Coturnix japonica: one gene and its partner. The main gene of each other region encodes a partner of the protein of the gene in region 2 in a complex. Links are inferred from orthologs where the notes say so. Each region holds a gene or a part of one and is shown on either strand. Other genes may lie near its edges. The genes, in order: ESR2 and NCOA5.

Evidence for each region.
Region 1: the proteins of NCOA5 (region 2) and ESR2 are in contact, whole or in part, in a crystal structure (PDB 4ZI1), measured with the Homo sapiens proteins. The link is inferred for Coturnix japonica from reciprocal best matches to the Homo sapiens genes NCOA5 and ESR2. Residues at the interface, in NP_066018.1 of Homo sapiens: Ser344, Leu345, Ile346, Leu348, Leu349, Ala350, Asp351; in NP_001428.1 of Homo sapiens: Ile310, Lys314, Phe319, Leu324, Gln327, Val328, Leu331, Glu332, Leu490, Glu493, Met494.

What each region holds. Positions count from the first base shown.
Region 1 is NC_029520.1:48,239,246-48,243,056, reverse strand, and holds part of ESR2 (estrogen receptor beta), read right to left. Parts: intron 3,080-3,811; coding exon 2,905-3,079; intron 2,185-2,904; coding exon 2,025-2,184; 3' UTR 1-2,024.
Region 2 is NC_029535.1:9,592,281-9,596,191, forward strand, and holds the start of NCOA5 (nuclear receptor coactivator 5), read right to left. Parts: upstream 2,426-3,911; 5' UTR 2,309-2,425; intron 294-2,308; 5' UTR 270-293; coding exon 107-269; intron 1-106. UniProt on the Homo sapiens protein: Nuclear receptor coregulator that can have both coactivator and corepressor functions.

The DNA of each region.
Region 1 (3,811 bases), on a different chromosome or scaffold from region 2:
CAACCCAGAGCAAACTGACATCCAGACGTTTACTGTACAACTGACACCCTCTTCTCCCCAGTTTCCCAGCCATTTGCTTCAGGAGTGCACATCAACTCGACGCTTTTATAGCAGAACAAAAAATAGCACTTTGGTGTTTCTTTGAAAACAAGCTGTATTAAACAAAACAAACACACAGGAGAAGGAAAACCAGAGGAACAGAACTACATCGTGGGGAGGCCGGGAGGTGATGGCACCCAAGGATGTGATTTGACAGCAAAACTTCCCTCCAGATGAGTAAGGAGCCAATGAATTCAAGAACTGAACTTACTTTTTTTTTCCCTTTTTGTTTTCTTCTTTTTGTAGTAAATATGAGATAGGTGAGAAGGGCGCTGCTATATTACAGCTCTTAAAAACAATAGAAAGGTAGCCAGTAAAAACCCAGGCAGCAGCAGCATCCCGTATAGTACAAGATCAAAATCAAGACAAGAAATTTGTGCAACTCTCTGATGGTGCTTTATGCCCCTCCTATAAAAATACTGTCCCGGGCTTCAAAAAACACCAGGGTGAAGGGTCTGCAAGGAACTCAAAGCATGCAAAGGGGGAACGGCGCAAAGTCCCTCATCCAAAAGACTTAGGCTCAAAATGGACTTTTGGGGGTAGTCCCAGTTTAATGTCACCGCACCTGCAATGCCAAGAACATGCATGTATTATAAACGCCTCCACTGATAGCAACTGCAATCGTAGCTCACATCAAAATGCAATATTGGCAGTGACTGGAACAAATGGTGAGGTGGTCAGATGTGATATTTCCCTGCATTATTTTCCTTAGAAGGTGTCTTAAACACATGCAGAAATCAGCACTACAGGGAGGCCTCAGCCTGCATCCCAAGTGACATTCAACTCCAATGAGCCATCGCGCCTGTGAAACAAACCTCTGAAGGATCCTGCACAAAATAAGGAACAGCTTCAGGTGTCACACACTTGGAGAACAAGCAAGCAGCAAACCTGAGGGCAGCAGCTCTGCTCAGCCTCCCATCCCCTGCCTCTACAGTGAGGTTGGGGTGGGCAGGACCCAGACCCACAGGCAGTCAGAACGGGAGGGAATGCAGTGCGTTTCCCCGCTGATCTCACAAGCCCCGGTTAGCAGAGCATATATGAACGCACACAATGTTCACAGAGCAACCTTTTGTACCTAAACGTTATAATAGATTCAACATCGTTAATAAATATATAAAACAACATCTGCATCCCACAGACAGAACACATTTCAAAGGTCAGCACTGACTGAAAGAAGGTGGCAGTTTGGTGCTGGTTTAAAGCGCTGAGGAATTATACACAAGTAATAACATGGGTGTTAAGAACTTGCTCACAAAACGCAAATGTAAGCTTGGTTTCACATTTCTGAAGAGGCTCTGAACTGGCCCAAGATGCTATTCAGAATGGCCCTCAAACAAGGGCCCACGCAGCCATTGCATATTTAAGAACAAAGAAAACTCCTTTACACTGTGCACATCACCTGCAAAGCAGCATTCCCCAGTGCCCAGCACGCACAGGTAAGCAGATCCATCCCAAACACTGCTGCTGTATATTTCATACTGCCTCACACTGAAAGGAGATCAGTTAGTCAGTGCTCAAAAGGATTGGGCTGGGACACAGAGAGCAAGGCCCTGACCCCTGGCCCCGACACAGACCTCTGTCATCTCAACCCGGTCACTTTATCTCTTTGTCTCAGTTGCTTTTAAAAAGGAGAGGCGATAATTCCCTGTCTTGCAGGACTGTTCTGAGGCTTAATTTCATAAGGTGCTTTTAAGAGTCTCACAGAAGGCACTATAAAAGTGCAGCTATTATAATGTCAGAAACAGACAGAGGTGTGCGCCTCGCAAGCTTTTCCCAAGGTATCCCACAGTAAATCTAGGAGAGATGAGGACTCGCACCAGGTCACGCTCCTGCAGTCCCATCACAGCAGCTTAGTTTTCTCCCATAACTTTCAGTAAATGGAGGCTGGGTACAGCCTGCATTACAGGGCAGCCCCGTAGTTCTGTTCAGACCTGGAAATGTGAAACTTGTTCAAAGTCAGGATGTGTGACTGGGGACTTTCTTTGCCCTCGGAGCGTGTGCGCGTTCAACATTTCCAGCAGCAGGTCATACACTGGGACCACGTTTTTGCACTTCATGCTCAGCAGATGCTCCATGCCCTTGTTACTGCGAAGGAAAACAGAGAAAATAAAGTCAGTGATGCAGGTCTGACAGTACAGAGAAGGAAAACACTCATGGTTTCAGGAGTTTCTTTTTTATGAGTTAAGAGACATAACTGCTGCAGTCTGTGGGATCACCTACTGCTAACAGCAGTAACAACATCCTAATGCACTCAGGCTGTGATCTACCATCTAGAGAACCAAGATTTGTGCTTTCTGACCCAAACTGTCATCAGAAAATAATCCAGATGTATCACTCCTATTGAGATGAAAGAGAAAGCTTCTTTGGTGCCATAGACATGGGAGACCCATGTGCTGCAGTTGTAAATGAAAGGGGAATTCACACCACATTAACAACCTACGTCTCCCAACTGGCTGAGAGGGAAGACCATATGATAGTGGCTAACTTCAAGCAGTTGGCTTCCTCTCTGCATGTCCAGTGTTAGATCTTGCAGATAACTACAGGCTTTAAGAATCCTCTTTTCTTCTGTCATACAGCCAGCTATGATGACACTTTGCTGACTGAGATCTCTGCAGTTGTATCACTACCATATCACTATGCCAGAGTGTGGGATCATTGCCTATTTAGCCATACTAGGAAGGATAGTCTTACAAAACAGAGATGAAGAGCATCCCTCAGGGGCACTGTGGAGTTCTAGACTGACTCTGTCACTCTAAGAAGCAAACACAAACAACTGGTATATCTCTCACATCCTGTAAGATTTACCTTGCATGTCTGACATGGGAGAGCAGCATCAACAGGTTGGCCAGGCGAGTTGTTTGCTGCTGGGAAGGGATCCCACTCTTTGCAATAACCCACACCAGAGCATCTGTGACCACATTGAGCAGGTGGTGCAGCTTCCTGTTGCTTTCGGGTTCTTCTGCTGACAAGGGAAACATGCCTAGCAGAGAAGACAAAGAAATCCTGCTTGTGAGGCACAAAAAACTACGACCATGGGTCATCTTCCAATGTAATAATTCACAGGATAAGAAAAGTTGTATTTCCTGACACACATTCACACAGCCCAACACAATGCAAACAGCACTGCATGTAACACACCAAGCTTCAGCTTGTATTTCTTCATCCAAATTGGATTTCTGCATCGATTGCATAGTGATTGACTCTCCCAAATCCTCCCAAGACAACACATTGAACATAGACTCCACAGTCAGACTGAGCTCTGAGCTCTCTGTCTGTGGGGAAGCAGACATGTTCTCCATTCTCCAGGGCTTTTTCCTTTGAATCACATTACACCATACATTTTAGTTTCGTTCATGCTGAAAAGAAACCCCTTTCTTCTCCAAGTAAATCCAAGGGAAGGAGGAGAGCAGCTATTCTTACTGACCGCTGTAGGCTCCCAACAGCTCACCATGGTGCCACAGGACAGCACCTGCCTACCATGAGACCCCTCAGAAGTCAGCAAAAGCAGAAGAAAGGGGAGTGGGGAGGAGAAAGAAGAAACTGCCACTAGGAAAGCCTGGAAACTCTCGCTAGTATTCTTGATAGAGAATCCCAAAGATGCTTATGGATGGAGAAAGCTCCAGAACACCCCGAAAAACAGAAGTAACAGATAAACCTTGCTAAGGAAGGAGAGCCTTGAGAGGAGAAGGGTTTTTTTGAGAGGTGAAGCTTT
Region 2 (3,911 bases):
GCATTAGTCACTCATCTCATCAGCAGCAAGCAGCATTTGACAAGCACGACAGTTATAGTTCTGACTGAATTCCCAGCCACGAAGAGCCATAAGATAAAATACTAACCCCTGATTTTGCCATATTTTGAAAATATCTCTTCCATTTCTTCCCGAGTCATGTGGTCTGTGGGCAAATTGCCGATAAAAAGTCTTCTCTCTAAATCCTGAGGTTTGGTGCTGTTAGTGAAGTCGCTCTGTTTGATGCTATTGCTCTTGCGTCCTCGGGCCATTTTGCTTTCGTTCCAAATCCAACTCTTCGCAAAAAAGAGAAATGGCCACGCATATCATTTCAATCCACGACATTCAAATTAAAACTGGAACAAGATTAAACTTAACAGCTTTGCAGACTAGAAGCCAACCGGGGCTGTTTGACGCAAGCTTCGCTCCAGAGAAAACTTAACACAACTGACACAGAAGGTGGACAAAGAACGTGCACTGCAGCATCTGGGGTGAGCTGTCTGTAATACAGAGAGGTAGGAAGCCTAATCTACTTCATGGGTGTGTTTTAGTGTTTTATCTGTGAGCTAAAATAGAATTAAAACTCATTTCTCACTGAAGAAAACGCAGCTTTCCGATACACCCATCGTCTTATCTTTTTCTTCTGTTCACTGGTAAGAAGTGCTGAGGTTTAAGCGGTATGTTAATAAGCAGAAAGGAAACGCTCATCTCAACATCGCACAACAGGATCCAATTATTTCTCGATGGGCTTTAAATGAGATGTCACAGGGTACTTTTAAACGTGCTTAAGTGACTACACTTGGATCCCTTTCCCATAGGGGACAGCAGTTTCTTATTCATTCTGCTATTGAGCAGCCCCACCACCACAGCACACCACACCACCTCCCACTGCAGGCGGGTCCACAGCTGGGAACATCAGCAGCCCTACAGGCAGCAGCAGCATTCAGCAACAGCAACAGCTCCAGCATAACACTGGGAAGGAAACAAACCCACCCACAACACCCAGTAGCCCAAACAAAGGAGCCCCCCCTTCCCCAGGACTCACCATTAAAAGGTGAACCCACAAGGTTGAAAACTATCTGAAGAGTGAAGTGCAATCCCTTCCATCGCAGAAATACAGGACAGGGAGGAACTCAAGTTAAAAACATAAAGTACTGTGAAGTTGAGTAAATCAATAGAGACTTGCGGTATCTGCCATGAGATGCCTCCAACCAACACAGCCCCTAACGACAACCTGCGTTCACTGCAATCTGAAAGCATCACCTACATAAATGCACCACACACCTAAGAGCATCAGATGGTTCCACAAGAGTATTTCTACCACACTCAGCATGAGAAATGAGCATGTTCAGGATTACAGACATACCATTTTGATTATGATTTTGTTTTTTTTTATTTTAAAAGAGCGTTAGATTTACATTGGTATCACTTGTCCTCCTTCCCACAACCAGGAAGGCACAGATCATCACCCACTGCAACGCTTTGTTTCAATATGAACTGAGCTTCTAGAACAGGAAGGGAACAGAAACACCCAACAAACCAATAGGAAACATGGGTGCTGACACACCTTATTCACTCCAGTCCTCCTGTAGGTTTGCTTCCCTGCTACGCACACACACAGCTTTACCCACTCCATCCAGAGCAGCAGCCCCCACCCCATTTCCCTTTACACAGGCATTAGGTCTGGTCCTACAGGGATAGAAACCAAACGCTCTGCAGGGTCAGAACAGAACCTGAGCACTGCAGGGCAGGACGTGGGACACAGCAGCCAGGTGGGCACCTGGACATTTATTATACCCAGGATGGGCTCAAGGCCCTGTCAGCAGTTCGGGCCGTGCTCAGACACACACAGCGCCCCATTTGCCATGGGCACGTTTTCCTTCCTGCATACAAACCCTCAATACTCCCGTCCTTTTCCTACAGGTGGGGGTGGCGTTGGGATGGAACCCCAATATCAATGCTGTGCCTGGATACTCACTGCCCCACCCCGAGCACCGACCGGGGCCAACCCCGCTGTGCAGGGCCCGCCCGGAGATAGAGGTGTTAGCGGGCCTGAAGCTCCGTCACTCCATACAGACAAACCGCGGCTCAGCCCCGCACCACCGAACCCATAAACCCCCACCGGCTGCAAACGGGCGGCGCCCGGAACCCGAACCGCCCCGCGAGGCTCCGAGCCGCACGGCCCGGCCCTTCCCAGCGGCCGCGGGGTCCCTCCATTGCCCTCCATTGCCGCCCGCCGCCTCCTTCGGCCCCGGGAAGGGCGGAGCTCCGCGTTCCGCTCCTCCCTCCTCGCGTTCCGCCGCGCACTTACCGCCGTACCGGGCCCGCTCCGCCTCAGGCCGCCGCCCGCCAGGACAAAGGCGCCAACCGCCGCTGTCGCACGGCGCCGCCGCAAAGCGCGGACGTGAGAGCGGCCGGAAGGGAGGGCGCTCAGTCGCGCTTTACGGCACGGCGCGACGCGCTGACGTAACGCGAGCCGCCATGGCTGCCAGAGAGGGAGGCTGAGCTCCCGGCATGCCCCGCTGCCGCAATGCACCATGGGATTTGTAGTCCGGCGGGGCGCGGCCGCGGGGCGGCGCTGTCCGAGTAATGGCGGCATTGCTGCTGGGTTATGACAGCATTGCTGCTGGGTATGACAGCATTGCTGCTGGGTTATGGCAGCATTGCTGCTGGGTAATGGCAGCATGGTGGCAATGCAGAGCACATGGCTGCAGCACAGCATGGGGCTCCAGAGGGATGCAGGTCCTGCAGGATGCAGCTGGGGCTGGGGACGGAGCGAGGCCTTGCTGTGGAGCCAGACACCCGCAGCACCGGGAGCTGCACCGTTCCTGCGGTGGTGCCCATCGGGAGCATGGCAGCACCATAACGTTGTGCTGGAGGCTGTGCAGTGTGACTGCATGATGTGCTGGGATGGCACGGACTGTGTAAGTCCCCCCGCAGCACACACTGCACCCTGCACGTCTGTGTATGGGGAAGTGTCTGACGGGGACGGGATGGGAAGTTCCACGGGGATTGCTGCGGGATGCAGGGCAGGCAGCCCGGCTGTGTGCAGCCTCAGGGCCCTGCTGTGCTTCTGCCTCTTCCCGTACTGAGCTGATGTGATTCTGGGAACTCTAAGCAGATGCCGGAGCCCATGGGGAGCACGGAAGGGCCCTGTGGACTTCTTAAAAGTGAAGTGAAACCTCGCACTTCTGCATGAGGAAGGAGCTGTCGGGGCCAGATCAAACATCTCCTCTGCTTCCCAGGGCAGATTCCTGCCTGCGGCCGCTCCTCCTTCACCCAGGAAGCAGCCGGTTACACGCTGACATCCACCCGTAGCTCGGCCGGGCCGGTCGCACCGTGCGGGGGAGCTGCGGGCACAGCCCCGGCCCCGCACGGCTCTCGGTTACGCTCTGAAGCTCGGGAAAGTCCCGGGGCGGCGGGTGCTGCCGGTGGGGACTTTGTCTCGGGACGTTCAGCCCGGTGACTGCAGGATGGGCGGCCCCTGCGGCCCCTTCCTGGGCGGAAACGGGTCGAGGCGTTAATATCGGCTGCCCGGCTCCGCACGGCTCGGTTCGATTCGGGTCGGGTCGGATGGGCGCGGCTCGGGCCATGGGGCGGCTCGGTCTGGGGCTGCTGTGCGCGCTGCTCCTGAACGTAAGTGCGGCGTCCCGCGGGGTGGGAGCGGGGCCGGGCCGGGGCTGCAACGCTGCGCTCCGTGATCACGGCCCGAAACGGGACCGGGATGCGGCGATGCTTTGCGGGGTGGGGGGGGAGCGCCCGGCGCCGTCGGGCCGCTGAGCTCCGGTCCCGGGGCCGCCGTCCAGCGCTGTGCCGGGAAGGGCTCGGGGAGCCCCTGGCTGGGTGCCCGGAGCACGGTTCCCACTCCCGGGCGTTGAGCTTCGTCGTTCCTCGTTCTCGTGGCTGAGATTCCC